Linked DNA regions of Saccharomyces cerevisiae S288C. The gene in region 2 interacts genetically with the main gene of each other region. Each region holds a gene or a part of one and is shown on either strand. Other genes may lie near its edges.

Region 1 (8,088 bases), on a different chromosome or scaffold from region 2:
CGAAACGGGCTGACTGGCTTGTGATTTTAGATCGTGGCGAGGTGAAATCACAGGGTAAACCATCGGACCTCATTAAATCTAATGAGTTTTTGAGGGAAAGCATAAACAATGATTCAAAAAATACAACTCACAATCAAATTGACTTGAAAAGATCAACAACATCAAAGAAAACTAAGAATGGAGATCCCGAGGGAGGGAACTCGCAAGACGAAGTGTGTGCTGAAGTTGAAAATTTTGAGGAAACAAAAATGGAAGGATCAGTTAAATTTTCAGCTTACAAATGGTTAGCAGACTATTTCGGGGGACTGGGAGTTGTTTTTGTTTTCACCTCGTCCTCCATCCTTATTCATGGAATCACACTGTCTCAGGGCTTTTGGCTCAGATACTGGCTGGACACTGGATCTTCAGGGAGTAAGTCTACCTGGCTTTATAGAATAGTTGAGGGTCACTCTAACATCTATTTCTTACTGACTTATATTATCATAGGTCTTGTTTCTTCATTTTTAACTTCTGGTAAAGTTTGGATAGCAATAATTTCAGGTACCAACGTCACCAAGAAAATATTTGCGAAGCTTCTATCCAGTATCTTATATGCCAAGTTACGTTTTCATAATGTCACGCCGACTGGAAGAATAATGAACAGATTTAGCAAGGATATGGATATTATTGATCAACAATTGATCCCTAATTTCGAAGGACTCTCTTATAGCGTCGTTGTTTGTCTGTGGATTATACTTTTAATTGGATATGTTACTCCTCAATTTCTGTTATTTGCTATTCCTTTATGCGCTCTTTATTATACCGTATGTACGTTATATCTTCGTGCATCTAGAGAGTTGAAGAGAATAGATAACATCAATATCTCTCCAATACACCAGTTATTCGCTGAAGCCATCAAAGGAGTAACTACAATTAGAGCATTAGCAGATGAGCGTAGGTTTATCACTCAATCTTTGGTTGCAATTGACAGAAGTAATGCTCCATTTTTTTATCTCAATATGGCCACCGAGTGGATCACATATAGAGTGGATATAATTGGGACACTTGTTCTTTTTAGTTCTTCTGTAATGATCATAATGAAGGCCTCATAGTTGGATGCGGGGCTAGCGGGGATACTGTTATCGAATGCCTTTTCCTTTACTGAAACTGCTCAATGGATCATAAAAGTATTTTCAAGCGTTGAACTTTTGATGAGTTCAGTAGAGAGAATAAAAGAATATACAGATATACCTTCCGAATCAAACGGCTACATATCACCTCCAGCTAATTGGCCTCAAACAGGAGATGTTGAACTAAAAAACTTATCATTGCGCTATTCTCCTCATTCCTCTAAGGCACTAGATAATGTATCATTCAAGGTAAAAGCAGGAACAAAAGTTGGTATTGTTGGTAGAACAGGGGCTGGGAAATCTTCTATTATAGCGGCTATTTACCGGCTTTCAGACTGGGAAAACGGTACGATTACTATTGATAACAAAGACATAAAACATATCCCTTTAGAGCGTTTAAGAAATTCTATAAGCTGCATCCCACAGGATCCTACTTTATTTGATGGAACTGTTCGATCTAATTTAGATCCTTTCGATCGGTATTCTGATGTACAAATTTATGGCGTACTATCCAAAGTGGGATTAATTGAAGAATGCGATGAATTGTGCTTGATTTTTGAGCAAGAGCAGCCTAATTTTTCTAGTCATAAACTAAGAAATAGATTCATTGATTTGAATACTGTTGTGAAATCAGGTGGTTCAAACTTATCTCAAGGGCAAAGACAACTTTTGTGCTTGGCACGATCCATGCTTGGTGCACGTAATATAATGCTAATTGACGAAGCAACCGCCTCAATAGATTATATTTCTGATGCTAAAATTCAGAAAACTATAAGAGAAACAATGAAAAATACAACAATTTTGACTATTGCTCATCGATTAAGGTCAGTAATAGATTATGACAAAATTCTGGTGATGGAAATGGGCAGAGTCAAGGAGTATGATCATCCATACACTCTAATATCTGATCGAAATACCATTTTTTACCGCCTCTGTAGGCAGAGTGGCGAGTTCGAAAACCTTTTCGAGTTGGCTAAAGTCTCATTCGATAATAAAAGATAAGACAACTAGAATTTCCTATTTTTATTCATTCCAGTTCTAGCTACGAAGTATACGATCTGCTTACGTCATATATTTGTGTGTAATTAGAAGGCATTCAGGAAGTCGCTTTTAACTTTTCAGGGCTATATGTCCTAATCCACTACTTTTTTTGAGAACTTTAAGAAATAACTCCTTTGAACCTGTCTGTGCCAAACAAAATTTTGCTGGTACATTTTATGGTATATAAACAAGCTACGTTATTATTACTTTTTTTTGATAGTTTTACTTATACTAGAAAATAATATTATATCATCACAAAAGAAACTCTCTCGTTAAGAATCCCGAATATTCAGCAGGAGCAAAAAAAAAATACCATAATTTAAATGCTTATTCAGTACTTAGCTGCTGATTTTATCGCAAGTATACTATTGGAGAGTACCGTGGTTCATATCGTGCTATTTTTATCTATATTTAAATTTATAGAAGTTTATCGTAGTATACTATGTAATTCTCTGCCGTATTGGCGGCAAAGACAAAAGCACTGACAGTAAACAGTTTTTCTGATGAGAATTTATGTCGAGGAACAAACGAAAATTTTGCTGGCCAAATTTGCTTACGCCTTTAATGTGATTGCGGTTGAGGTCTGTTATTACGCAGCTGCTATCATGTGTCTATTTGAGATTCTCTTTACAGGTTATCGCTGCATTTTTGTCAAGAAAAGAAAAGAAGACAACCTTTTTCTTGCACTGCGATGAGTATATTCAGGCTCGCGAATTTTCCAGATTTCTTACTAAAGACACATCTTTGAACGCACCAGCATGAATTTTATGAACTACTGATCCATATATTAATAGGTTTTAAGTACATATAGAATACTTAAGAAATTACATTCCATTGCGATACACCTATTTGATTCTGATTGTGTTGAAGTCTGTATAAAAGGCGAAAAAAAATAAAATGAAAATAAGAAAATAACTGCGCTACTTGTCTTCTAAATTATCTTCTGGTGTATCGTCCTTTTTTGGTATGATTAATTTCTTATTGGATGAAAAACTACAAAACAAAAATCCTAAGGCATAAAACCCTAGATCCATCCAAAATACGTTCTTAATGGAGTCGCTTAAAATGTTTCCAATAGTCGAATGAGAACCGTCGTAGTTTTGAAGACGATACAAAATCATGTCATCAACCGTTTTTCCTTCGTAAGGCTCTAGATGAGCTCGTGATACTTTATTGTGAAAGGAGGCGGAAAAAACAGTGGTTGAAAGCACACCACCAAGAGTTGTACCTAATGACTTCATGAATGTATTGAAAGCTGTTACTTCAATAAAGTCCATAGCAGCTTCTGGACGATCTTTGGTAATTTGAAGCTGTGCACTCATGAGCGATGCTTGTAGAGCAAATCCAAGGGAAAACCCCGGTAATAGCAAAACACCAATTTGAGTTGACTTCGTGGACGTATTTGTCATAAGTGTCATAAGCCCTGCTCCAATTACCCCAAGAACGCCTCCAAATATTAAGAGTGGTTTAACTAAACCGAGCTTTTTGGTAATCACACCACTTGCAATGGCCGCAATAACGTTGGTAATAACGATTGGTATCAAGTGAAGACCGGCTTTCCATGCACTCGACGCAAATATAAGTTGGAAAAACTGGACAGAGTATATCATTTGCCCATTGTAACCGGTACATAATAGAAATGTTACCATGTTTACTATTATTATGGCTGGTTTTGCTACCAATCTTCTTAGAAGGAGAGGCCTGTAGGATATATTATCAGGTTCCGGGTTGAATTTATCGAATAGGAAGAAATCGTACACCAATGAAAAAATAAAAAGTAAGACACCCAAAACCAAATATGTGATGACTTGGCCAGAGTTCCAACTATATTTATTACCACCAAAGGTTAGCCCCAGTAGGAAAAGGACCAGCCCTGCAGAGCAGAGGGCAAAACCAAAGAAGTCAAACTTGAAGATTATGCCATTCATAAGTCTTTTAAAATTAACTTGGTGTCTGAACTTACTAAAAGTAAAGCTCGAGATTGTTCCTATAGCATCTTTAATTTGTTGAAGTATACCCTTATTCTCGGCCTTATAGGTGAGTAAAAACATAATAATGGCAAGACCACCGATAGGAAGATTGATATAGAAGCACCACCTCCAGGTAACATGGGTTGTAAAGGCACCTCCGATTATAGGACCAACGATAGCAGCTACAGCAAATGCACAACTTAGGATGGAAATCACCAATGGACGTGACCTTTCACCAACCATCGTACAACCAATAACAAAGCAAAGCGTTTGGAGTCCGCTTCCCCCAACACCAGCAACAACTCTACCGAAAATGAGCATATTCATTGAAGAGGCAAGGGCAGCAATTAGGGATCCGGCTTCAAAAATAAGTATTGCTAAAATGAGACTATGCTGGAAACCTATGATAGATGCGAATCTTCCCCAAATGAGACTCAGAATAGCATTTGGTAAACTGTAGCCTGTAACGAGCCAACCTGTTTTGGAGTAGTTTCCGAACTGTTCTGCGACCACGTCAATAATAGTTCCCACTATCAAAATATCCAGTGCAGTTATGAATAGTACAAGAGTTAACGAAGCCAGGCAGAGGTACAAGGAAAGTCCCATTGGAGAATCATTGCTACCTCTAGCATTCAATGAAGCGTCTGAACCACATGCTCCTTCTATCTCCTGCTGCGAAGAGTACTTAGTTTCCTCCATATTTTTGAATTTCTATCGATTAAGCTCTATACCAGGTATGATCTGGTCTGATCAGTTCTAGGTATGAGTATAACTAGAATACATCTATATATATGTATATATATATTTAAACCAAAAAAAAAAAAAATTCGCTTCTCATAAAGGTGTGATGACACTATTATCTTTTGCATATTTTGTCGACTCGTATCATGTACGCGCTGCATATGAGGTGCGGCGCTATCTGTTAAATATGTACTAATTTGCACCTGCTGCAAAGGAAATGTGGCACTACTTTTACTCGCATGTTAACTTTCACCTACTATATATAGAAAAAAGGGTGTTGCTTTCAATCGCCGACTAATTTGCTCAAATACTCTTTACACAAAGGAAATTGTGTATCAGTAACCCTTACGGTTTGTTTATGAAGGAACTTTGCTCGTCCTACACCACCGGATCTAGGTACTCAATTTTTTGATGATTTTGCACTTGTGCTCATATCCTGTCGACAGGCACCGCATTTTTTTCCTTGTTTCAACAGACATAAACACAAGCTTCACTCATTAGTTTGAAAAGAGATAGTTTCGACGGTACAGTATTCTTGTCGTACAAAAGTCTTCGGTATAACTGGTTCGTTGTGGATTTTCGGAAAGTAAGTTGATTGTACGACGACAGGTCAAAGTTAAAGTTAAAGTCACCAGGTGTATAGACACCACATTGAAGGGGCGTCACAGCAATTTTTTTTATTTTTTTTTGATACTCAATAATTACGAGCATATAATTTTAGTACTTCCAAAAAAAAGTTAAAAAAAAAATAGTGACAAAATGTGTCAGTAAAATATATATGAGAACATGGAATGTATTAAAGTAATTCCATTTCTAGCAGATGTAGCGACCGTAGAATCTTAAATACTATTTACATAAATAAGAAAAGTAAAATAGTTTTATGGACTGGAACGAGAAAAAAAAAAAAAAGAATAATCAAGTAAATAAATTATCGGATGAGTTCTAGTGTTGTTGGTGCCTCAAGTAATAAAAAAAGTGGAATTAGGCAGTCCTGTGAGATTATTGAGCGAGAACGTCACTCAAACGATGACACGTACTCTATGACATCGACCTTTTTTAAGCTCAAAGAAAACGAAATTATGTCTGCACAGTTTGATTCCTTGAAATATAAAATTCTACTGATAAGTACCGCGTTTGTATGTGGGTTTGGAATTAGTTTAGACTACACACTTAGATCGACCTATACGGGCTATGCAACGAACTCATATTCAGAACACTCCTTACTTTCAACTGTCCAAGTTATCAATGCTGTTGTGAGTGTCGGATCCCAAGTTGTCTACTCTAGACTCTCTGACCACTTCGGAAGACTAAGGCTTTTTTTAGTTGCAACTATTTTTTATATAATGGGAACCATCATTCAATCACAGGCGACCCGTCTCACCATGTATGCAGCAGGATCGGTTTTCTATAACTGTGGATACGTCGGAACAAATCTGCTCCTGACATTAATACTCTCAGATTTCTCCTCCTTGAAATGGAGAATGTTTTACCAGTACGCCTCATATTGGCCATATATCATAATACCATGGATTTCAGGCAATATTATCACAGCAGCAAATCCTCAGAAAAACTGGTCCTGGAATATTGCAATGTGGGCTTTTATTTACCCACTCTCTACCTTGCCAATTATATTTCTTATTCTTTATATGAAGTACAAATCTTCAAAGACTGCTGAGTGGAGATCTCTCAAAGAACAGGCTAGAAAGGAAAGAACGGGCGGATTATTTGAGAATTTGGTGTTTCTATTCTGGAAACTCGATATTGTTGGCATATTATTAATAACTGTGTCGCTAGGGTGTATTCTTGTTCCTTTGACGTTGGCTAATGAGACATCACAAAAGTGGCACAATTCAAAAATAATTGCCACTTTAGTTTCAGGTGGCTGTTTATTTTTCATTTTTTTATATTGGGAGGCCAAATTTGCCAAATCTCCTCTTCTACCGTTCAAATTACTAAGTGATCGTGGAATTTGGGCACCCCTTGGTGTTACTTTTTTCAATTTTTTCACCTTTTTCATTTCGTGCGACTATCTGTATCCTGTTTTGCTGGTATCGATGAAAGAATCGTCCACTTCGGCTGCTCGGATAGTAAACCTTCCTGACTTTGTTGCTGCTACTGCATCTCCATTCTACAGTTTGTTGGTGGCAAAGACAAGGAAACTGAAACTTTCTGTAATCGGAGGTTGTGCTGCATGGATGGTGTGCATGGGCCTTTTTTACAAATACAGAGGAGGATCTGGGTCTCATGAAGGTGTTATCGCTGCATCTGTTATCATGGGTTTGAGCGGTCTCCTATGCAGCAATTCAGTGATCGTCATACTGCAAGCCATGACTACGCATAGTAGGATGGCTGTAATAACCGGCATTCAGTATACCTTTTCAAAGCTAGGCGCTGCTATCGGTGCCTCCGTTTCTGGTGCCATATGGACACAAACCATGCCTAACCAACTCTACAAGAACCTTGGAAACGATACATTGGCAGAAATAGCATATGCATCACCTTATACATTCATTAGTGATTATCCTTGGGGCTCACCGGAAAGAGATGCTGTGGTTGAATCTTACAGATATGTTCAACGAATAATAATGACGGTTGGCTTGGCATGTACGGTACCGTTCTTTACGTTTACAATGTTCATGAGAAACCCGGAACTAATAGACAAGGCGACACACGAAGAATTCACTGAAGATGGTTTGGTTGTCTTGCCAGATGAGGAAAATATTTTCTCTCAAATCAAGGCACTTTTTAGACATAATCGAAGTAACAAGAAATCAGGATGTTGATCCCCAAGCTGGTGAAAAAAGGGCAAAAAAAAAATGAAAGCAAAATCACAAAAAAGGCAAAAACAAGTGATTTCTACATTTTTATTACTTCCGATAAAAATGACATAACAGGATAGGATAAACATGCTCGATAGACCCACATTTGAACTTGCGACGCATATAGCTGTGTCGTACTTTTTATTTTCACAAGCGTCGGTAAAAACTCAGCGTCGGTAAAGACTCAGCGTCAGTAAAAGAGTCAGCGTCATTGATATTAAAAGTGCGGGAGGAGTTACTATCCAATAAATGATGCTGGAAATGCGCTCTGTATGAATGCATTAATTATGTTGTACCGAAAAAGAAAGAAAGAAAGAAAAAAAAGAATATCATGTAACTTCTAGTAAGGGCGTCATGTCATAGCACTTTTCTAAGTGTATGCCATTGTAAATCATTCTAAGCGAAAAA
Region 2 (8,059 bases):
CGTCCATTGGCTGCCTTTAAAGTGCAGAAGTCAGAAGCATTGTTACTAACTTTCAACAATTTTTATTCCTTTTCATGATAGATATCAAAGTGAAGACCGCTCGCTGGTATCGAAGTATTTCTTAAAGCCATTTTGGCAAAGATTTTGTCACATATTTCCCACGTGGATGGCGCCCAACATCATCACATTATCAGGATTTGCTTTTATAGTTATCAACGTGTTGACTGTATTCTATTACGATCCAAACCTTAACACAGATACGCCTCGCTGGACATATTTTTCTTACGCTTTAGGTGTATTCCTATATCAAACGTTCGATGGATGTGATGGTGTACACGCTCGCCGTATCAATCAATCAGGACCCTTAGGAGAACTATTCGATCATAGTATTGATGCCATTAATTCTACTCTGTCTATTTTCATCTTCGCATCCGAAACTGGAATGGGATTTTCGTATAACTTAATGTTATCCCAATTTGCGATGCTGACGAATTTTTACTTAAGTACTTGGGAAGAGTACCATACACACACATTATACTTAAGTGAGTTTTCTGGACCCGTGGAAGGCATCCTGATTGTTTGCGTTTCATTGATACTGACAGGTATATACGGAAAACAGGTAATCTGGCATACCTACTTATTTACAATTACAGTTGGTGATAAGGTAATTGATGTAGACACTCTAGATATTGTTTTTTCCCTAGCTGTTTTCGGTTTGGTTATGAACGCATTGTCTGCGAAAAGAAACGTGGATAAGTATTATAGAAACAGCACTTCTTCGGCCAACAATATCACGCAAATTGAGCAAGATAGTGCTATAAAAGGTCTTTTGCCCTTTTTTGCCTATTATGCAAGCATTGCTTTACTAGTGTGGATGCAACCAAGCTTTATTACACTCTCTTTCATCCTTTCCGTTGGTTTCACGGGAGCATTTACCGTCGGAAGAATAATCGTTTGCCATTTAACTAAGCAGAGCTTTCCCATGTTCAATGCACCCATGTTAATTCCTTTGTGCCAGATAGTATTGTACAAAATATGTCTATCCCTTTGGGGAATTGAGTCTAATAAAATCGTCTTTGCCCTATCTTGGCTTGGGTTCGGTCTCTCACTAGGTGTTCACATTATGTTTATGAATGACATTATCCATGAATTTACTGAGTACCTGGACGTTTATGCTTTATCCATCAAGCGCTCCAAGCTGACATAAATCGCACTTTGTATCTACTTTTTTTTATTCGAAAACAAGGCACAACAATGAATCTATCGCCCTGTGAGATTTTCAATCTCAAGTTTGTGTAATAGATAGCGTTATATTATAGAACTATAAAGGTCCTTGAATATACATAGTGTTTCATTCCTATTACTGTATATGTGACTTTACATTGTTACTTCCGCGGCTATTTGACGTTTTCTGCTTCAGGTGCGGCTTGGAGGGCAAAGTGTCAGAAAATCGGCCAGGCCGTATGACACAAAAGAGTAGAAAACGAGATCTCAAATATCTCGAGGCCTGTCCTCTATACAACCGCCCAGCTCTCTGACAAAGCTCCAGAACGGTTGTCTTTTGTTTCGAAAAGCCAAGGTCCCTTATAATTGCCCTCCATTTTGTGTCACCTATTTAAGCAAAAAATTGAAAGTTTACTAACCTTTCATTAAAGAGAAATAACAATATTATAAAAAGCGCTTAAAATGAATGAAATGGAAAACACAGATCCAGTATTACAGGATGATCTCGTATCCAAATATGAGAGGGAATTAAGCACAGAACAGGAAGAGGATACGCCTGTTATCCTTACGCAGTTGAATGAAGATGGCACCACTTCGAATTATTTCGACAAAAGGAAACTAAAAATTGCCCCTAGATCAACACTACAGTTCAAAGTGGGACCTCCATTTGAATTAGTGAGAGATTATTGTCCAGTCGTTGAGTCTCATACCGGAAGAACACTAGATTTACGAATTATTCCAAGAATTGACAGAGGGTTCGACCATATTGATGAAGAGTGGGTAGGTTATAAAAGAAATTATTTTACCTTAGTATCAACGTTTGAAACGGCAAATTGTGATTTGGATACTTTTTTAAAGAGCAGTTTTGATCTTCTCGTTGAAGACTCTTCAGTAGAAAGCAGATTAAGAGTGCAATATTTCGCTATCAAAATAAAAGCTAAGAATGACGACGACGACACGGAAATCAATCTCGTCCAGCATACAGCGAAACGCGACAAAGGTCCTCAATTTTGTCCTTCAGTATGTCCGTTGGTGCCTTCCCCTTTGCCAAAACATCAAATCATAAGAGAAGCTTCAAATGTTCGAAATATCACTAAAATGAAAAAATACGATTCCACTTTTTATTTGCACAGAGACCACGTTAATTATGAAGAATATGGAGTGGACTCTTTATTGTTTTCCTATCCAGAAGATTCTATTCAGAAAGTTGCCCGTTATGAAAGAGTTCAATTTGCTTCATCAATTAGCGTGAAGAAACCATCCCAACAAAATAAACACTTTAGCTTGCATGTAATTTTAGGTGCAGTGGTAGATCCAGATACCTTTCATGGGGAGAATCCCGGAATTCCTTATGATGAACTGGCTTTAAAAAATGGATCAAAAGGGATGTTTGTGTATTTGCAAGAAATGAAAACGCCTCCTCTTATTATTAGAGGAAGATCACCTTCTAACTATGCGTCATCTCAGCGAATAACTGTGAGAACACCGTCGAGTGTCAATTCCTCACAAAACAGCACAAAAAGAAAAATGCCATCAATGGCGCAGCCGTTAAATGAAAGTTGCTTAAATGCAAGACCTTCGAAAAGGCGATCCAAAGTGGCGCTAGGTGCACCGAACTCTGGGGCCTCCATCTCGCCTATCAAATCTCGTCAATCCACACCAATGGAAGCTTCGAAGGAAAATGAGGATCCGTTCTTCAGGCCAAATAAAAGGGTGGAGACTCTTGAACATATCCAGAACAAACTGGGTGCTTTGAAAAATCAATGTCCAGATTCCTCTCTGAAATATCCGAGTTCATCTTCAAGAGGTATGGAAGGGTGTTTAGAAAAGGAGGATTTAGTTTACTCAAGTAGTTTTTCTGTTAATATGAAGCAAATCGAACTGAAACCGGCACGCTCTTTTGAACATGAGAATATTTTCAAAGTAGGCTCATTAGCATTCAAAAAAATCAATGAATTACCTCATGAAAATTATGATATAACAATAGAGAAGAAATCAATGGAACAGAATTATCTAAGACCAGAGATAGGCTCACGTTCTGAATGCAAAACAAGCTATGGTAACGAACTCTCCCTTTCAAATATTTCTTTCTCTATACTACCTAACTCAGCAGAAAATTTTCACTTGGAAACTGCACTTTTCCCAGCTACGGAAGAGGATGTGCCAAGGACATTTTCAAGAATATTAGAAACAGGTTCGTTTCAAAATTATTATCAAAAAATGGATGCAGAAAATGCAGATAGGGTATATTCGAAAGGGGTCAAGTTGATTGCAAGCGGTACTCTACCATCTGGTATATTTAATAGGGAAGAATTGTTTGAGGAAGATAGTTTCTATAAGTATTAAATAAACTAATGATTTTAAATCGTTAAAAAAATATGCGAATTCTGTGGATCGAACACAGGACCTCCAGATAACTTGACCGAAGTTTTTTCTTCAGTCTGGCGCTCTCCCAACTGAGCTAAATCCGCTTACTATTTGTTATCAGTTCCCTTCATATCTACATAGAATAGGTTAAGTATTTTATTAGTTGCCAGAAGAACTACTGATAGTTGGGAATATTTGGTGAATAATGAAGATTGGGTGAATAATTTGATAATTTTGAGATTCAATTGTTAATCAATGTTACAATATTATGTATACAGAGTATACTAGAAGTTCTCTTCGGAGATCTTGAAGTTCACAAAAGGGAATCGATATTTCTACATAATATTATCATTACTTCTTCCCCATCTTATATTTGTCATTCATTATTGATTATGATCAATGCAATAATGATTGGTAGTTGCCAAACATTTAATACGATCCTCTGTAATATTTCTATGAATAATTATCACAGCAACGTTCAATTATCTTCAATTCGGCTTCAGTACTGTATGAAATACTCGCTAACATTTTCTTTATTCTATAATAGCACAGTGACACTTAAACGTCAAACGTGGCGCACATTAATATACGATGTATGCATTTGGCTTGACACTGCTGTAATAAGGAACATCATCATCCGTCAACTAGTAGTCACATTAGTAGTGTATTATCACATGGTGTGTAAGAACATTACGTAAAGATTGAAAAAAAGTCATCAAAAATAAAGGAAGCTGAAACGCAAGGACTAGTAGTGTAATAGAATAATATTGTGTAAAAGTATCGATACCCTTTTTGGAATTATTGTATCTTCGAGGGTGGCTTTTAATATATTTTTGAAAACCTAATATTATAACCTTTCACAACAACGAAATCCCAACTGTTGTGTAATAATTTTACTCAATTCTTACTATTGCTTTACCAATCCTTGTATTTGAGCTCTCATAAAGTTCGCTGACTACTTCTCACGACTCATGTCATCTCCTTATACTGTATATGATAATATACTGGTGGTGAATGACAGCAAACTCTTTCTGGAAAACTTCTTGTCCTAAAGAACAAAATCAGTGTAATGTGTAGGCCAGTGTTATGTTTTCATGAATATGACATCTGATAAGAATAAAACAACTGGTAAAATGACTGCTTTTTCGGCTTATAAAATTCTAACATGTACATATTTTTTATAAAATGAAAATACTATTGTCCTTAATTGTACAATTTTTACATTTGGAGGCCAAATTATAAAAATAATAGCGCTGCTACTCCAACTATATAACCCATGTTCTTGGATTCAACCTTCATACCAGCACCTTCATAGACAGAGACATTTGCGGTACTACTTGGGGTAGTAGCAGCGGTAGTCTCAGGTCCAGACGCAGTGGCTTGGATTTGACCATCACTGATCTGTGAAATAGCGGCATCTTGCTTTTTGCCGGGTTGATGATCTGCAACAGCGCTTCTATTGGAACGATACAATGAGCCATTCCAACCACCCACATCATATACAGCTGCATTAGATATCTTTTTCTGCTGAGCTGCTAAGGACCAAGATGCGCTGCTGTTGAAGGCTTCATCAGTCGAATTAAATTTTCCTTCTATGTACGAGTTCGTACTATTCGCAAATTGTACGTCCAACGTGTCTGAGGAGTTGCTTACTTGTGCATGTGCAACTAGAATATTGGTGATGGCAAACAATGTGGAAACTAAAGTGCACTTCATGGTAGATTAATTATGATGTTCGTTTGATTCTGTTCTATATTTTTTATATGCTGACTGAACAGATTATAAAAATTAAATTACATGAAGTATTGAAGTTAATGTTGGCTATTTTTGAGGAGGAGGTTCACCTTTATATAGTATTCCTCGAGCTACAAAAACATGGATATTTTTACAAATGCTAGTAAAAAGGAAAGAGGTCAAAAGAAACGTTTGGCATCAAAAGTAATCAAAGTGGGGTCTAGATTTATAATTTGTACTACGAAGAATCGCGACTCAAGGTACCAGGTACGACTGAAACTTTCTTTTTGGATTTTCGAAGAGAGAAAAATTAGTTAGCATAAAAAGAAATATAAAAAAAAAGGAAAGGAAAAGTGTTCGAGACTTTACCATACAAAGAAATATTACGGTAGAAAAAAGAGCTGCACTTACCCAATACATATTGATGAGGTAGTATTCACGGTGAGAACAACTTACATCAACACCTCAGTTTGCCGAATCTGCAGTGATATTGTATCCAAAGTCTACTTTTCATCCTCATTTACTGTCATTACAGAAATTTGTCAGGAAAAGCAACCGGGTAAGGGAACTTTCAGGGCCAACGCGAAAAAAAAAAAGGTCCATCCATAGATTTTTTAGAAGATACACACCGTGAATTGATTAGAGATCATAGTAACCTCAAAATATACAATGTCTTAGATTGGAGCAGGCAGAAATATCTATCAGAGCACAAAATGGCTAGAAATAGAACAACCTCCAAGAAAAATGTTCAAAGTAAACGCTTAATAGACAGAGTGGTTCCCATGGACAAGATTAAAAAAGTTGGCGTAGCGAAAAAAAAAACCGTAGAACACACTAAAGAAGGATTTAGCGTTGTCAACGGTAAGCTAGTAAGCAGCAATGACGTCGGTGTACTGTTAAGAGAAGCACAGGGTGCTATCGATAAAAGAACTAATGTTTCCCAAAGAAATAGGAAAAAGGGAATAAAGAATAATAGGCCCCACAAAGACATAAACAGCAGTCCTGACTGGGGCAATGCCCACAGAGGAACCGATTGGCAGAGCGAAAAAGCAAACGGCATGAACAGGGCCAAGAACTCTCGGAATTTTACCACTAATATTAAATTGCAGCGACAACATTTTGGCGAAGAAATACAAGGTGGCAGCCAGCTTGTGATATCTACAAATTCAGATGCTTCAGATAAATTGTTAATGCTATTCAACCTAACTTTGGGAGTAAACCAAGAAAACTTGAAAAATGTTCTGGAAAACATTTCTCAGGTGCAGATAGCTCAAATTAGGGTTAGAGACCTGCCTTCAGGATCTGCCACCGCTAAGGTCCGTCTGGCATATCCTACAACACAGTCTTTGGAGAAGGTAAGAAAACTGTTCCATGGCGCTCTAGTTGATGGAAGGCGCATCCAAGTGGTGATTGCATCTGATGAATCGTCCCACTTGTCGTATTAGAGTTTGTCAACGACACTCACAAGGTATTTAATCAGCAAAATCCCCGCCACAAACTATTTTTTTGAAGACATGCTTTCTCATGACTGCCTAATAACAATACCTCATTCTACTAGTAATCGACCTATGTAATTATTTCATAAACTATAAAGCAGGTCATTGCAATAACAGAAAGGCCGGTTTTTCTATAAGCTTATCTCATCGCATAAAAAATCGACAGTTGTAATTATCTCCGGCGGACTTTTCCCTTTCCGTCTTTTTTTTCAAAATTTTTTTTTTTTTCACTTCTTCTTTCAAAGCTGCCTCAAAAGAGATATATATATTGGTAAGAATCCTCTTCCAATACTAGCTTCATTTCTTCTTGAACCATGAACCCGTTATTCTTTTTGGCTTCTCCATTCTTGTACCTTACATATCTTATATATTATCCAAACAAAGGGTCTTTCGTTAGCAAACCTAGAAATCTGCAAAAAATGTCTTCGGAACCATTTAAGAACGTCTACTTGCTACCTCAAACAAACCAATTGCTGGGTTTGTACACCATCATCAGAAATAAGAATACAACTAGACCTGATTTCATTTTCTACTCCGATAGAATCATCAGATTGTTGGTTGAAGAAGGTTTGAACCATCTACCTGTGCAAAAGCAAATTGTGGAAACTGACACCAACGAAAACTTCGAAGGTGTCTCATTCATGGGTAAAATCTGTGGTGTTTCCATTGTCAGAGCTGGTGAATCGATGGAGCAAGGATTAAGAGACTGTTGTAGGTCTGTGCGTATCGGTAAAATTTTAATTCAAAGGGACGAGGAGACTGCTTTACCAAAGTTATTCTACGAAAAATTACCAGAGGATATATCTGAAAGGTATGTCTTCCTATTAGACCCAATGCTGGCCACCGGTGGTAGTGCTATCATGGCTACAGAAGTCTTGATTAAGAGAGGTGTTAAGCCAGAGAGAATTTACTTCTTAAACCTAATCTGTAGTAAGGAAGGGATTGAAAAATACCATGCCGCCTTCCCAGAGGTCAGAATTGTTACTGGTGCCCTCGACAGAGGTCTAGATGAAAACAAGTATCTAGTTCCAGGGTTGGGTGACTTTGGTGACAGATACTACTGTGTTTAAATAAATCACACCCGAACACCATCTTGAAGGTTCAGAACGGCTGAAGCCGCATATCAACTTTTGGTTTCTACTGTTTTAAATTTCCTTTCTCGTTTTAAACCTTTGTTGCCGTCTCTTCTACTATCAATTTTGTTGTTCATGCATGTTTAATTACCTTTTTTTGTAAAA
Region 3 (6,796 bases), on a different chromosome or scaffold from region 2:
GTTTTTTATTAAATCTGCCGGATAATCTACCACTTTATACGCAGTACCATACCATTTTTCAGCAGAATCTGTTTCTAAACTCCTTGAGATCAGAGTAACACGAGAATTTTCCGGGACCAGAGCGTCCGTATATTGGGTAAGCAAATCAGGTTCATATTTCGTTAACAAACCCATGGCTAAAATTCTGCTAACAGGAATGTAATCCTTTTCCAAGCATTTTGCCAATGATGAAACTGTGGAAGATGGGCTACCAGCTTGCTTAAACTTGAAGGTAGCATTAGAGATATCTTGCAGTTCATTGAATATCCATTTTTGAGGTAGTGAGTTTTTCAACATTTCAATATACTGGAAGATCAAGACAATAACATCGCGATAGTGTGTCAACCCGTTGTCTGTTAAATCTATATCGACAGCAAAAAAAGCATTTCCTTTGGACACAGTATGCCCACCAGCAGATAGCTCATTGGCCCAGCCCAATTTTTTCAAATGTGCTAGTAATGAACCGGACCCTTCATGGCCGATTAAATGACTTAATATCCTCGGTGGCTTGGACTCCCAATGTTCCTCCATATCAGGGACAGTGAAAGAGATTTCTAGTTTTTTCAAATCTTTCACAGGACGGACTTGAATTATTTTTTGCAAATGCTCAGGCTGCATAATAGGTTCCGCATAAAGGGGTACTTCACGACCGTTATTGGCTACATCCTTGAAGAGATCATAAGTCCAATCAGAGAGAGTATCAAGGTCTTCTCTACCAAGAATACATAGCTTCATTAGGTTAGCGGAGTAAAAATTCTTATGGAATTTTAACAGTTCATCTCTAACATTTAGTCCATTTTCCTTTGGCAATGTGCCCAAAGTTTCGATGTTTCCTGTAGAAAATTTGTGATATGGATGTTTTGTATTGGTCAAAGACTTGTCTAATTGGTAAATTCTCCAAATATCATTCTGTAAGTTCTTTTTGTTTTCGCTGTTAACGGCGTTGATCTCTTTATCAGTAGAGTCCTTGTTGAAAAGAGGACAAGAGAAAAACCCTGAAAACCTGTCTAGCGCACCAAATAAATGTTGGTGATTAACCTCAAAAAAATAATTTGTGTTTTGCGATGCTGTGTAGGCATTGGATGAACCACCGTGCTTGCTTAAATAGCTCGAGTATTCGTTTTCGTCTGGAAATTTCTCAGAGCCCATGAATAAAAGATGCTCGCAGAAATGCGCCAATCCAGGTAGGTTCTTTGGATCTTCAAAGGCGCCAATATTGACGTCTAGCGACGCTGCTGCTTTATCTGCTTTTGGGTCCTGGATCAACAGAGCCTTCAGCTTATTAGGTAGCTCAATAAACCGATACGATCTTTCGTCTAAATCCGGCTTTAAAAAGTCCAGATTGAATGTCTTAAAATTGGATGTCATATTATAAGGATTTGTTGTGTAATAGCGTGATAAGCACGTGAATGGCTTGAAGCGTCTTACGGTGAAATTGAGACTGATAGGTGAGAGGTGAACCAATTGAGTGAGGAGTGGTTTAGTTACAAATGCAGAAGAAGAAGCTAAAAGAGATACGCCCATACAGAGCAATATCAAAATGAGCAAGAATGAGGTCTTCCGAATGGTTGGTTCTGACTTACTATTTGATTTCACTTTCTCTGATTCATTCAGGAAGAAAAGGGCGAAGTCCTCGAAATGAAAATTTCAACATCATTAACAGACCGGCGCGCGCCTTTACAATTTAGTATGTACGCCACCAATAAAAGCTGCTTAAACAATAAGCTAGAAAGCCCAAAGGGTGTTAAATAGTACAGCGAACCCTTCAGCAACGGTACATCAACAACCCCTTGAAAAGAATAGAGACAATACAGCTACAGTCATCCCCTTCTCTTGTATTTTTGGCCACAATTGATTGTATTACATCATATTTTGCCTGTGCGCTTCTTCTATCTTTTCCGCATAAACTAGGGGAAACGCGATGAAGAAATGGATTGGCTGAAAAATACAACAATTGTAGTGTTATTCAGTCATTCAACTGACAAAAGTAACAAACACAAGAAACGTCAAGTCCAGTGCAATATGCGAAAGAACACTTTAGATATGGTCACTATAGGTATCGCATGCCTTGTGGGAGTCTACACGGGCACGAGATTTTTCGAGCCCATTGTTATCGATAGATTGCGTAAGGATGGAAACTTGAGAACGGACATTCCCATCCCAGAATACGACGAGGACGGAAATCTGTTAAAGGTCACGCCGTCTTTATCATCCACACCAGCTGCACCACCTACACCACCTACACCTCCTACTCCACCACAACAGTAAGGAAGCGTACTAGAAAATACCTCTATACTTTCTTTTCCTGTATATAGCATCAATAGTAAAGCCATTATAACGTTACAAAAACCTATTACCCGGAAAATTACTATTTATAGAAGCATTGGACCCATGCACCACATGCATTAGGACCCATTATTTCTTTTTTACAATTTTTCCGTTAATTTTTCACGAATTTTTCACCGTTTATAAACACTCTCGAACTTATAAACAAAGGGATGATAAATAGATTTCGCCAGTTGTTAATACACACAGGGTCAAAGCTCACAGCACTACTACACTCGTTCAACACTCGTTATATATTATCATGCGTGCCACCACTTTATTATCTTCAGTCGTTTCTTTGGCATTGTTGTCGAAGGAAGTCTTAGCAACACCTCCAGCTTGTTTATTGGCCTGTGTTGCGCAAGTCGGCAAATCCTCTTCCACATGTGACTCTTTGAATCAAGTCACCTGTTACTGTGAACACGAAAACTCCGCCGTCAAGAAATGTCTAGACTCCATCTGCCCAAACAATGACGCTGATGCTGCTTATTCTGCTTTCAAGAGTTCTTGTTCCGAACAAAATGCTTCATTGGGCGATTCCAGCAGCAGTGCCTCCTCATCCGCTTCTTCATCCAGCAAGGCCTCTTCTTCTACCAAGGCTTCTTCCAGTAGCGCTTCCTCCTCTACCAAGGCTTCTTCCAGTAGCGCTTCCTCCTCTACTAAAGCTTCTTCCAGCAGCGCTGCCCCATCTTCTAGCAAGGCTTCTTCCACCGAATCCTCTTCTTCCTCTTCTTCTTCCACCAAGGCTCCTTCCAGTGAAGAATCCTCTTCCACTTATGTCTCTTCGAGCAAGCAAGCTTCCTCCACTAGCGAGGCTCACTCTTCCAGTGCTGCCTCTTCGACCGTGTCCCAAGAAACAGTCTCCTCTGCTCTACCAACTTCTACCGCCGTTATTTCTACTTTCTCTGAAGGTTCTGGTAATGTTCTAGAGGCAGGAAAATCCGTTTTCATTGCTGCTGTTGCCGCTATGTTAATCTAATTATCTATCACTTTATTTCTAATGGGTTAAGGTATCTATCTTTTATATTTCTTATTTCCTCTTCTTATATGATGCGGATGATTTTATTTCTTCAAAAAACATTTTAAAACTCCTCTTTATTTCGTTATGTTCCAGTTCACTACGACTTCTTTTCTCTTAAAGAGCAAATAAAAGTATATAAATCTATATTAAATGAAAATCAAAAAAATATTTTTTCGATCAGCTCCTTGTTCTTTTCATTTCAAAGTTTTTTACATTGTTACACATGTGCATGAATATATATGTTTGCAGAATATTTTTGGCGACGCTTAACTCGCCATTTCAGTATATGTCGGTGGCGGTACATATCTGGGCAGAGCTTCAGCTTCAACGTGCTCTCTAACTTGACAAAAGATCTGAACAGGATCAATGTTTACTTCAGATTGCTTCCTAATTCCATTGATTCCCCATTCTATCAGTAGCTGTAAACTGAATGTTCTTTTTATCGTGCATGTCTTGAAACTATACAACCTATTGCCGCGATGTCTATAGTCTTCTTCATTAAATACCAACTTTCTTAAAATGGGGTGATCCTTTAACCGTAATTCACATTCAAACATAGAACCATCAAAATTTTCTCGTATTTCGTTTAAGTCCAAAAGAGGTTTATTGGATTTGAGCTGATTCAAATCAATCTCGATTAGCTTCAAAGAAGAGTAATTGCCGTTCGCTATTCCCTGAGATAAATATGTTGTAGTCTCTAGCAAGTTCAGTTGTAGTTTAAGTGGGGTAATTTGCATTTTGCTCAAACTTGCTATATTCCCCTCCATGACTACATAGACCTTGTCAAAATTTTGGCTGCCAGACCTAAACAAGTAGTCTTTCCTGTATATTTGCTTCAAATCTCGACTTCTAACCTCTATTCTCATATTGCTTTCCCCATCAGGCAACCCCATTTTATAAGTAGATGGGAAAACTTTCATACCATTTACTAGGCGAGTAGATTGTCTTGTTGATGTGACTGATGATACCGGTCTCGATCTAATGTCGCCGTTTTCTATCAATATAGAATTAGCTTGAGAAAAGTTCCTGTCACTTTTTATATATCCGACTCCATTAACGACTTTGACGTCCTTTGATGGCACCTTTAAATTTGAACTATTGAAAAATTCATTGTTGGTGACCATACTATTTCCTCTACTATTGTTACTGAAGGCATTAAGTTCTTCATTGTCATCTTCATCAGGTTCTATAATAAGATCTTTTGGCTCAGGTATAAATTCGAACGTCTCGATTTCCCTTATCAGTTTATGGAATGGCTTAAACCAAGATGAAGATTTCCCTAGCTCTAATTGAACTTGCACCATATATATAACTTTTCCAAAAGAGTAAAAATACAAATCCAGATTATCGATTTTATTAAATTCTTGCCAATGACTATTGAACGTAGGTGGGAGTCGGGCATTACTTCTTGTCACAAACGCTACTGTCTTTGCCGTATGATTTTTCAGACATTCAGGCTTTCTGGGAAACTTGTCAAATTGAAAGCTATAATTATATGAACCTGGTTTAACTTTGAACGGCTTGGAGGAGCCATCAAGAGCATTCCATACATTATCTGGAGGGAAAACTCTCTGTTCGAATTTCATTAATGTATGAAAGGATTTGTTGTCTTGGCCCGGCATCATCATGCCATTCTGTTGAAACATGTACTCTTGATCAATTTTTGTTAAGGTCTCTGAGAATCCTTTTAGAATGACGGAAATTTTCCTTATAGATAGCGCTTTTGTTAACTGAAGACTAACTATCCCTGACATTTGATCATTAGAGCTATAAAACTCCCCGTTGTACGGTGGGTTTAAGGATATTGAAATTTTTGGAGCCATGGTTTGACAAACTGTATGGTTCTCAACCTTCTCTAATCAAAAGCAGAATCTTAAATATAAACACTCACAGAATATCCGTTGGTCAATGAAGTAATTCTCCTTTGTACTGGCTGCTTTTTCTCCTCTAGTTTATGTAATTCTACTTTTGGATGGGTGCGACTGCTTTTAATTGATTGAGTGGCGGTGTTAGAAGGGCTGTAGAGTCGAAGGCTTGTTTCTCTCTTACGCACCTCTTGTGAAAAGGGCGTGCACCTTCCCCAGGACCCTCTCTCACCCTCAACCCGCATTTTGCTGAGAATTTTCACCAAGGCCCTAGGTGATATTAGATTCCACCTGACTAATTGCATTACAGCCGACCCAAGGCAATATCAGTTTAATAAAATATCATGTATCTCACCCTCTTCTTGGTATTAGTAAAGAGACGCCTGATCTTGTAACAGTGGTGAAGATTGTACTAGAGCAGAATCAAGAATTTAAAAAGTGTAAAGGCAAGGCAGAGGCGATGTACATAAAACTTCGAAGTAAGAAATATTTAATAGTTCTCGCCACATCACTATGCAGCTATATAAAAACTACTATAAACGTTTGTTTTGTTCCTTACGCACAATATCCTTGCCTAGAAATCGTTTTTGAAATTTAAATTTTTATTACCATTTATTTGATTCGCCTTCAGAAAAATATGGAAGAGTGCATATTTAAAAAGGACTATTTCAGCATATAGTAAAAGTCAGGTTATTTGTTTATTTGCGATATCAGAGTAACTTAAACTAACTATGCAGGGCACTTTTAAAAGGTTTTACCATCCCACGCTTACGCGGATGTCCTTCTTGGATAAATTCCTCAAGCCTATGATGGCAACGGCTTCCCCAAAGGAATACCAGATCAAACAACTGGTCAAGCCAATAGGCTTAACACAAGCACCAAGGAAAAGCACCAAATACTCCCAGGGGAACTCTTTGAGGGATATGTTTGATTCGGAAAAGACAAACCACAGAGTTAAAGAGTTGGCCGTTGAATTCAGCAAATCTGGACTTTATGACGTGCAAGTCTTCCAAAAGACAAAGGGGAAATTGTTTATAGCTCCAGTTTCATATTGGAAAGAAGATAAAGCTTTGTTTTTTCCTCATTTGATAGGAACGGCAATGGATGGTACGAAACAACAGAATATCGAGGATATGTTAAGGGGTAAAACCAGTATAGTGAGGTTATTTAGTACAGCATCTGGCGATAAGTTGAGTAGTTCATACTTCCAAGGAATCGTAGACGATAACAAAAAAACTGACTACTTGACTGAAGCTGATGCGCGTTTAAGTTTAAATGACAGTAACGTCCAAATCATCGAGGTCAATCTTGTAGAAAACGCTGTGAAAAGTGCTCTAGTGAAAACGCTTGCTCGTTGGGCCAATCGCGTTCCATCCTGGCGCCAGCCATTTTATTTCGAATGTTCTAGAGGCCAATGGCCATTTTCCGTCAGGGAAGAGCTCTTTTGCAATAATGTCTTTTCTGGATACGTCTTTCTTGTGGACCAGCAGTTAAAAATTAGGTGGGCAGCTTGCGGGGAGGCTACTCCATCTGAAAAGGAAGCATT
Region 4 (9,038 bases), on a different chromosome or scaffold from region 2:
GACGGTTGTTGCTGGAACGAAAATCAGTGATATTGAACAACCGACCATAAAACCTTGGGTGACATACAATTGCCATAACTTGGTAGTAAAGGAGGCCAAGAGATATGCGGCAAGCATTACAGCATCACCAAAAAGCATGGTGGTCCGCAGACCAATTATTCTCATCAGTGCCATCACAAGGGGGGATAAGAGTTGACCGAGAAAGACAGTTAGGCCAGCAATTAAGGCATAATCGTACTTCGAAGCACCAGGGTAAGTATCATGGTTTAAGTAGTAGGCAAGGTCGACACCGAAGGATGCGTTGCAGCCCCACGTGGAAAACATGGTCAAGAACACACAGAATGTCACGACCCAGCCATAACCACCGTCGGGGGGCAGTTCCAGCTGCCCGGTAGACTTGTTGGTGAATACTTTTTTTACAGTCGGTTCATCAGGCTCGAATTCGGTTATTCCTTGGGCCTCAAGATCCTTACCGGAGTGTTTCGTGGAAGCCGGATATAGTCTATTCCTCATGAGTTTGGAGTCCATGGAAGCTTTATGTTCTGTAGTATCATTTTGAATAGAAGAAGCAGAGAAAGCAGAGGAAGATGGTGCCGACAACGAGGCGCCTGCAGTCGTGGTGTGTGTGACTGGGATGTTTAACTTTGACTGGACTGACTCATTGTGCTGTAGCCTAATGGCATCGGCCACGTCAAATCTAGATTCTAATATTTTATTAACGTCTGCGGAATTTTCTTCCGTCTGCAAGTTGTCGTCATCGACAGCCTTTTTAATGTCGTTGAGCCGATTAGTTAACGTCCTACTAATAGACAATTTTCTCGATGCATCGTTCGACTTGGTGCTGTGTAGATCAGAGCATGGAACCGGAGCAGCAATAGAAGCCTTAGAGAATGATACAGGCTGTGAAGAGTTTATCGAAGAAACCTCGGACGATGTCTCAGAGACCATTCCGGAAGAAGCAGAAAAGTAGTCGTTTGAGTGCGTTGACATTTTTCAGATTTATTTTCAGAAGCCCCGTAATTATACCTAAAGAAAAAGTAAAGAAAAGTGGAGAAAACAAAAGAAAAAGATAAAACTTTTAAATATGTGGTGTGACAAATGCAAAATACTATTCTGACTCGCACATTTAACTAACAAAAGAAAATTTGTCTAAGTCTAGCAGCTTTGGTAGAATATAGAAGAAACAGTCTAGTTTTGGCTCCGATATGAGTGGACAAAGCATCAAGATCTAAGGAATGCCAAGTATTTATCCAGGTTCTCCCGAAGACTTTTCTTCAATAGCGGCGGGGGTTTTTTTTTTTTGCAGATTGCCGAGATAGCCCGCGGCAAAGATACGTTATCTCGGTTATCGTCGGCAAGCGCTATTGTAACTAGATATAGGAAACTGTGGTCTGCAAAGATGCGGTATAAGGCCTCCGTCTGTTCTTACTGCGTTATCAGCCTTTGACAGTTTTAGTTCGTCAGGGTCTTTGACCAAATGATAAATTCCCTGGTTTACATTTTCACTAGTTTGTTCTCGAGCAATGCTTAGTTGGCACATAAATGAGTCAGGCACTACCACTCGGGTAACGGTCTGCGCGTTTCTTTTTGCGGCCATGAAATTTTTCAGGCGATGAGCTTAAAGGTAAAGGAAAAAGATGGTAGGATGATAGGTAGGATGAAGCGGTATGAAAGTGGAAGAAGCACAATATAGCACGTCGAAACAGTGCTAATCATGAGCGATGACTTGTTTTCTAAGGCTTTGGAGAATCCCGACCAGGACTTGAACGTGGAATTGCCCAAGGATGATGTTGATTTAGGTCTTTTAGGTGATGGTGGGAACGAGAGGAAGACCGATGAACCGGTAGCAGACGCAGAAAGATCAACAGGCCTAGGATCCGGCTCTTCTGAATCCGAATCAGATTCCGGTTCTGATTCTGATTCTGATTCTGGCTCTTCAGGTAGTGAGGATGATTCTGCAGATCAGGACGTTGAAGGAGAGGACGAAGGTGGTGACGCGATTGAAAATGAAGACGAAGACGAAGACCCTTCACCTTCCGGTCCTATACTATCGAAGAACGAAATACTAGAGGAAACTGTTCCTGAACTACCGGAAGATTATGAAATTTCAGAAAAAACGATCATCACTCCTATTGGTGTTTTGAAGTCTGCATTTGAAAATAATATAATCATTCACGCCACGATGTCGGGCGAAAAGCGTGTTTTAAAAGAGGGTTCCATTTTCTGTCTCGAGGATAGAACTTTGATCGGGATGTTGACGGAGGTGTTTGGACCCTTGCAAAACCCATTTTATAGAATTAAGTTGCCCGATTCAAAAAAAAACTTATTCGATGAATTAAAAGTGCGTTTGGGTGAGAAAGCCTTTATAGTCACCCCTGATGCCCACTGGATAGATACTTTCGAGTTAAAGCGCAACAAAGGTACTGATGCGTCTAATGGGTACGATGAAGAATTACCTGAAGAGGAACAAGAATTTTCCGACGACGAAAAAGAGGCCCTTTTCAAGAAAATGAAGAAACAGCAACGGCAACGAAAGAAAAGGGACAACCGCAAACTAGCCAACGATAGTGACAATGTCAAGGTAAAGAGAGCTCGGCAGCCCAAGGCCAACAGTTTACCTAAACTGGTACCGCCGTTGGGCATGAGCAGTAATGCTCCGATGCAACATGGGTACAAATCAAGAAACGCACGTGAAAATATCAAGCGTGAATCCAGTGCTACCTCTAATCGGAATGGCTCCTCCCCAGTGCCAATCACACAGCACCACCAACAACAGTTTTCTGCAAATAATTATCCCTTCCCTCAACAACCAAACGGTATGCCTTATCCACCATACTCACCTTTCCCTCAGCCGACTAACTTCCAGTATCCACCTCCACCATTTGGGCAGGCGACACCGGCCCAATTCTCCAACACTGTTCCATATGGTAGCTTACCTCCCGCATACAACAATATGTCGCCGCCAACACAGCAGTCGTTCATGCCAATGACCCAAAGTCAACCGCCACTTCCATATGGCGTACCTCCCATGAATCAAATGCAAAACCCAATGTACATCCAACCGCCACCTCAAGCACCTCCTCAGGGAAATGGTAATTTCCAACAAGTAATGGAATTACATCAAATACTTTTGCAGCAACAGCAACAGCAACACCAGTATCAGCATCAGCATCAGCAAGATCCAAGAACCTAGAGTCACGATTGAAATATTTAATAATAAATGCTATGTATCATAGATAAACTAGAAAGAGGCAAGAAAAATTTAACAAGTTTCTTAATTGAATATTATTTTACTGTCACTACCATTATTAGACGCCATCTCAGCGTGTGACATGATAATTTTTCTTTTTTTCTTTTTTTTTCCTCAAGGCGATGATATGAAACTTTCAAAAAATTTATATGTAAATAAAAAAGTTCTACGAGGGTTTAAATACGGAAGTTTATTTAGAAGATATTTATACTCTGAATACACACGTAGAGTACAGTAAAGGTTTTTTAGATCTACTAATGACCATATCGTTGAGCAATATAAAGAAAAGAGACCATTCTAAAATTTCCGATGGAACTTCTGGTGAATCATCGCTTGTAAAAAGGAAACAGTTGGAAAGCGCCACCGGAGATCAAGAGGAAGAATATACAGACCATGAAATCATTATAGAGCCGTTGCACTTTGCTAATAATAATAACACTGTACTCACAGATTCAGAAAATTATCTAAGATGGCAAAATACCATCTCCAACGTTGTTAAATCAGTGGTTTCCATTCATTTTTCACAAGTTGCGCCATTCGATTGCGATTCTGCTTTGGTATCTGAAGCTACCGGATTTGTCGTGGATGCTAAATTAGGTATAATTCTGACCAATAGGCACGTCGTTGGTCCTGGTCCGTTCGTAGGCTACGTAGTTTTCGATAATCATGAAGAATGCGATGTTATACCAATTTACAGAGATCCTGTTCATGATTTTGGGTTCCTCAAATTCGATCCGAAAAACATAAAATATTCTAAGATCAAAGCGTTAACGCTAAAACCAAGTTTGGCTAAGGTCGGCTCAGAAATTAGAGTTGTCGGTAATGATGCCGGTGAGAAATTAAGTATCCTAGCAGGTTTTATTAGTAGAATTGACAGGAACGCTCCAGAATATGGTGAGCTGACATACAATGACTTCAATACAGAATATATTCAAGCTGCTGCATCTGCTTCTGGCGGTTCAAGTGGTTCTCCAGTCGTAAATATAGATGGGTATGCTGTGGCTTTACAGGCAGGTGGCTCTACAGAGGCATCTACTGATTTTTTTTTACCGTTAGATAGAATTCTTAGAGCGTTAATTTGCATCCAAACCAACAAACCTATCACACGTGGTACGATTCAAGTTCAATGGCTGCTGAAGCCTTATGACGAGTGTAGAAGATTAGGTTTAACTTCAGAGAGAGAAAGTGAGGCTCGTGCTAAATTTCCCGAAAATATCGGACTGTTGGTAGCAGAAACCGTTTTAAGAGAAGGCCCAGGCTATGATAAAATTAAAGAAGGTGATACTCTAATTTCAATAAACGGTGAAACCATATCTTCTTTCATGCAAGTGGATAAAATTCAAGATGAAAATGTTGGGAAGGAAATCCAATTGGTTATTCAAAGGGGCGGTGTCGAATGTACTGTCACCTGCACTGTTGGTGATTTACATGCTATCACCCCTCATCGTTATGTAGAGGTTTGTGGTGCGACTTTTCATGAATTATCATATCAAATGGCAAGGTTTTATGCGCTACCTGTCAGGGGTGTATTTTTAAGTAGTGCATCAGGGTCTTTCAACTTTGATTCAAAAGAAAGAGTGGGTTGGATTGTGGATTCTATAGACAATAAGGAAACCCCCGACTTAGATACATTTATTGAAATTATGAAAACTATTCCAGATCGTAAGCGCGTTACTGTACGATACCACCATCTAACAGATCAGCATTCTCCACTTGTTACTTCTATTTACATTGACCGTCATTGGTGCAATGAATTCAGAGTTTACACAAGGAACGATACAACTGGTATTTGGGATTACAAAAATGTTGCTGATCCACTTCCAGCCGATGCGTTGAAACCTCGTTCGGCCAAAATTATTCCTATTCCTGTTAATAATGAAAAAGTTGCAAAATTGTCATCATCGTTATGTACAGTGGCTACAATGGCAGCAGTTCCATTGGATTCACTTTCTGCTGATATTTTAAAAACATCAGGCTTAATCATTGATGCTGAAAAAGGTTATGTCCTAGTGTCCAGAAGGGTAGTTCCACATGATTGTCTTGATACTTTTGTCACCATTGCAGATTCCCTTGTAGTTCCAGCCACAGTAGAATTTCTCCATCCAACTCACAACTTCGCTATTGTTAAATATGATCCAGAGTTAGTAAAGGCTCCACTAATCACTCCCAAGCTATCTACCACCAGAATGAAACGTGGTGATAAGCTTCAGTTTATAGGTTTTACCCAGAATGATAGAATTGTTACTTCAGAGACCACTGTCACCGATATTTCCTCTGTAAGTATTCCAAGTAATTTAATTCCGAGGTACCGTGCCACTAATTTAGAAGCTATATCTATCGACTGCAACGTTAGCACCAGATGTAATTCCGGTATTTTGACAGATAATGATGGTACAGTAAGAGGTTTATGGCTTCCATTTTTAGGCGAAAGATTAGAAAATAAAGAAAAGGTTTATTTGATGGGATTAGATATAATGGACTGTAGGGAAGTTATAGATATCTTAAAAAATGGCGGTAAACCAAGAGTAAGTATAGTTGATGCTGGGTTCGGTTCAATTTCCGTTCTGCAAGCCAGAATTAGAGGTGTGCCCGAAGAATGGATCATGCGTATGGAACATGAATCAAATAACAGGCTACAGTTTATCACTGTTTCTAGAGTTTCTTATACAGAAGACAAGATTCATTTAGAGACCGGTGACGTCATTTTATCTGTGAACGGAAAATTAGTCACTGAAATGAATGATTTGAATGGAGTTGTAAGCTCAGCTGATGGTATTTTGCCATCAGCCATGTTAGATTTTAAAGTTGTTCGTGATGGTAATATTGTTGATTTGAAAATTAAAACCGTGGAAGTTCAGGAAACCGACCGTTTTGTAATATTTGCAGGTAGTATCTTACAAAAGCCGCATCATGCTGTTTTGCAAGCTATGGTTGATGTTCCAAAGGGTGTCTACTGTACATTCAGGGGAGAATCGTCACCGGCGCTCCAGTACGGTATATCTGCCACAAACTTCATAACTCATGTCAATGAAATTGAAACACCTGATCTAGATACATTTTTGAAAGTTGTCAAAACAATCCCTGATAATAGTTATTGTAAAATGAGGTTAATGACTTTCGACAATGTGCCCTTCGCTATTTCACTGAAAACGAATTATCATTACTTCCCTACTGCAGAATTGAAGAGGGACAACATCACGCACAAATGGATTGAAAAGGAATTTACCGGCAACAGCCAAAGTGAAAAATAGGCCAGATTTGATAAAACATTTATATATGTATGTATGTATGTATACATCAAAGTCTTCCATAAAGAACAGTTTTTTTATAGACTATCACAGGAGCGTTAAGATTTACAAGTTTTTCAATCATTTTGAGGGGTTAGGATTATGATGTCGAGATGGTTGCAAGCGCCTGACGAAATAGTATTTAATTACTTCAACGCTTGAATTCTCTAAGGTATTATCGATTGTATAAATTTATGGTTATTGTTTCATACTTATTTATATACATGAAGACCGAAAGCAAATACTCAAACAATTGATTTGGGGTTAACGGTGCGTTTGGTTTAGAGGAGAACATAATTATTCCACCTTCAATGATAGGGTAATAACCGCTTTAGATGCTTTGAATAAGCTGGATGGGCAATTTTCCTTCCGGTTAAGGCTTTTAATGATCTATGGGACCAGCCTATATTGCCATGTTTTCTTCCAGCTATGCCTCTTTTAAAAGTATTACCGGTACGCCTCCACCTCTTTGCTGTACCTTTATGAGTTTTCATTAAAGTTCTTATTGTTATTGTAGAAACGTTATTGAATAGAAAGCCGTTGAGCTTCACTTTGAAACTATTTGAACCTTTAAGTAGTGGTTTGAGTACATTGAAAACAGACATGTTTTGGTTTTGGTCTCCTCGTTGCCGTTTGTTATGCAAGCTAATTTTCATGATAGATATATATACTATCTTTTTTGTATTTGACCAGATTTTTTTAGGCTCCGCAAATTGGCGAGGGCTTCAAGGTTGAAAAAATTGGTTGTGGTTTATACGCACTGCTAATTATTTACAGAATGAAAGAGAAAAAGAAAAAGATATATATATATATATTAGAACATGCATACGTGTATATTGAAACAAAAATGAAAACAAAAATTTTCAAAGTGAGATGTCAATGTCATTGCTGCTCTTCCTTTGTCATTTAGTCTACTTTGTTACTTAGTTTTTGTCTTCTCCTAAAAGTTTTTAAGTTTATGTTTACTGTTTACATTAAACCCTGTTCGCGTAATTTAGCTAAAGTTTCTTGAATCTTTTTAGCCAATACTGGATCAGACCTAATTCTTTGTTGAACTTTAGCGGCTTCAGCAAAAGTAATGGCTTGTAATTTCTCTTCCATAGTTCTAGCCAAATCAGCGGATTCTTCGAATAATGTAATAGCTTCATCGATATCTTCCTGCTGCAATTTCATTTGAGCTAAACCGATTTTAGCTTGCTCACTTCTTGGGTCTAGTTTGGACGCTTTTTCTAATAAATTCGTGGCTTCAATAAAATTTTCTACTGTTGGATTTCTTGTCAACAAAGTGGCTTTACCGACCAAAGGCGCAATTCCAACATAAATACCATCCAACTTGTTTTCTAATTCAATAGCCAAATCGTACTGCTTCAAAGCCTTGTCAAAATCGTTCTTGTCTGTTAAAATTTCAGCAAAGAAATTTGGAACTTCTGGTGCCTCTGGAAATTTTCTCTTAGCTTCACTAAACAAAGTTTCACAGTCATCAAACTTGTTTTCACGGTACGCTAGACATGCTAATTGAATATAAGGGAAGATATTCTCTGGGTCTAATTCCTTAGCTTTATCAAAATCTTTTCCTGCTTGATCATAGTTTTGTAAAATGAAATTCATTTGGCCGCGGTGATAGTAAACAGAAGAATTGTTTGAGTCCAGTTTCAGCGCTTTATCGAAGTAGTTATAATATTCAGTCGAGTCATTTCTATCAGCCATGATTAATGCCATGTAGATATATGAATTGACTCTTGGGAACAATTCAATAGCTTTCTTGATGTCTTCGTGAGCTCCCAATGGATCGTTTTTCAAGAACTTGAAAATACCTGTGTGTTCTAATGAGATGGCCAATTTTTCCTTTAACTTTTCATCCTCATTGTTCTTGTCCAATTGTTCTTCAAATAACCTTGCAGCTTTCGTGAAAGACTCATCAGCCTTGTCGTAACTTTCGGGAGATCTTTTGTACAAATTACTTAAACCGTTCATTAACTCTTTATCAGCTTCATTGGATTCATCATAATTGGCAAAAGTCAACTCGGGTTTGAAAATACCAAAGAAAGAGGCCATGGATGTAACTGAAGGCAAGTTTTCCTGCTTGTCTTTGCGTTCTTTAGCTGGTTGGGTGGATAATTCAGTTGGAGTAGCAGTAGCGGTGTCAATATCGCCAAACTTTTCTTTCAATTTAGACATAGCTTGCTTATTCAAGTTCCTCTCCAACATTGGTTCAATAGAGGCGTCATTGAAGTCACCATTTAGAGACAATACAGACAAATCGAACATCGCATCCGCAAATTTTCCTAGCCCTTCGTTAGCAGAAGCTCTTCTCAGTAAAACTTTTGAGTAGTCTGGTTTTAATTCAAGAGCCTTAGTACTCATTTCAACAACTTTTTTCAAGTCACCCACAGAAACATAGCAAGCCGATAAATTCGAGTAGAAAACTGGGTCTTCTTTCAATTCTAATGCCCAATTATAGTACTTAATAGCATCGTCATATTTTTTATTTCTAAAGAACT

What was found.
Region 1: mutations in NDT80 (region 2) and VBA5 together harm fitness more than expected from each alone (negative genetic interaction), as found in Saccharomyces cerevisiae (one large-scale study listed by BioGRID).
Region 3: mutations in NDT80 (region 2) and ECM19 together harm fitness more than expected from each alone (negative genetic interaction), as found in Saccharomyces cerevisiae (one large-scale study listed by BioGRID).
Region 4: mutations in NDT80 (region 2) and NMA111 together harm fitness more than expected from each alone (negative genetic interaction), as found in Saccharomyces cerevisiae (one large-scale study listed by BioGRID).

What each region holds. Positions count from the first base shown.
Region 1 is NC_001143.9:655,646-663,733, forward strand, and holds VBA5 (basic amino acid transporter), read right to left. Parts: upstream 4,820-8,088; coding exon 3,071-4,819; downstream 1-3,070. Other genes in the region: putative multidrug transporter NFT1, read left to right, coding at 1-1,091; YKR104W (uncharacterized protein), read left to right, coding at 1,191-2,111; GEX2 (glutathione exchanger), read left to right, coding at 5,797-7,644. UniProt on the Saccharomyces cerevisiae protein: Transporter required for vacuolar uptake of basic amino acids.
Region 2 is NC_001140.6:354,875-362,933, forward strand, and holds NDT80 (transcription factor NDT80), read left to right. Parts: upstream 1-1,686; coding exon 1,687-3,570; downstream 3,571-8,059. Other genes in the region: EPT1 (bifunctional diacylglycerol cholinephosphotransferase/ethanolaminephosphotransferase), read left to right, coding at 82-1,207; YHR125W (uncharacterized protein), read left to right, coding at 3,984-4,289; ANS1 (Ans1p), read right to left, coding at 4,828-5,307; YHR127W (uncharacterized protein), read left to right, coding at 6,039-6,770; FUR1 (uracil phosphoribosyltransferase), read left to right, coding at 7,241-7,891. UniProt on the Saccharomyces cerevisiae protein: Transcription factor required for successful completion of meiosis and spore formation. Gets activated after completion of meiotic recombination at the end of prophase I.
Region 3 is NC_001144.5:901,098-907,893, forward strand, and holds ECM19 (Ecm19p), read left to right. Parts: upstream 1-1,968; coding exon 1,969-2,307; downstream 2,308-6,796. Other genes in the region: STE23 (metalloendopeptidase), read right to left, coding at 1-1,563; CCW14 (Ccw14p), read left to right, coding at 2,627-3,343; ART10 (Art10p), read right to left, coding at 3,652-5,208; ATP10 (Atp10p), read left to right, coding at 5,982-6,796. UniProt on the Saccharomyces cerevisiae protein: May be involved in cell wall organization and biogenesis.
Region 4 is NC_001146.8:391,178-400,215, forward strand, and holds NMA111 (Nma111p), read left to right. Parts: upstream 1-3,507; coding exon 3,508-6,501; downstream 6,502-9,038. Other genes in the region: ESBP6 (Esbp6p), read right to left, coding at 1-990; NAF1 (RNA-binding snoRNP assembly protein), read left to right, coding at 1,715-3,193; mitochondrial 54S ribosomal protein bL35m MRP35, read right to left, coding at 6,846-7,193; protein channel TOM70, read right to left, coding at 7,507-9,038. UniProt on the Saccharomyces cerevisiae protein: Nuclear serine protease which mediates apoptosis through proteolysis of the apoptotic inhibitor BIR1.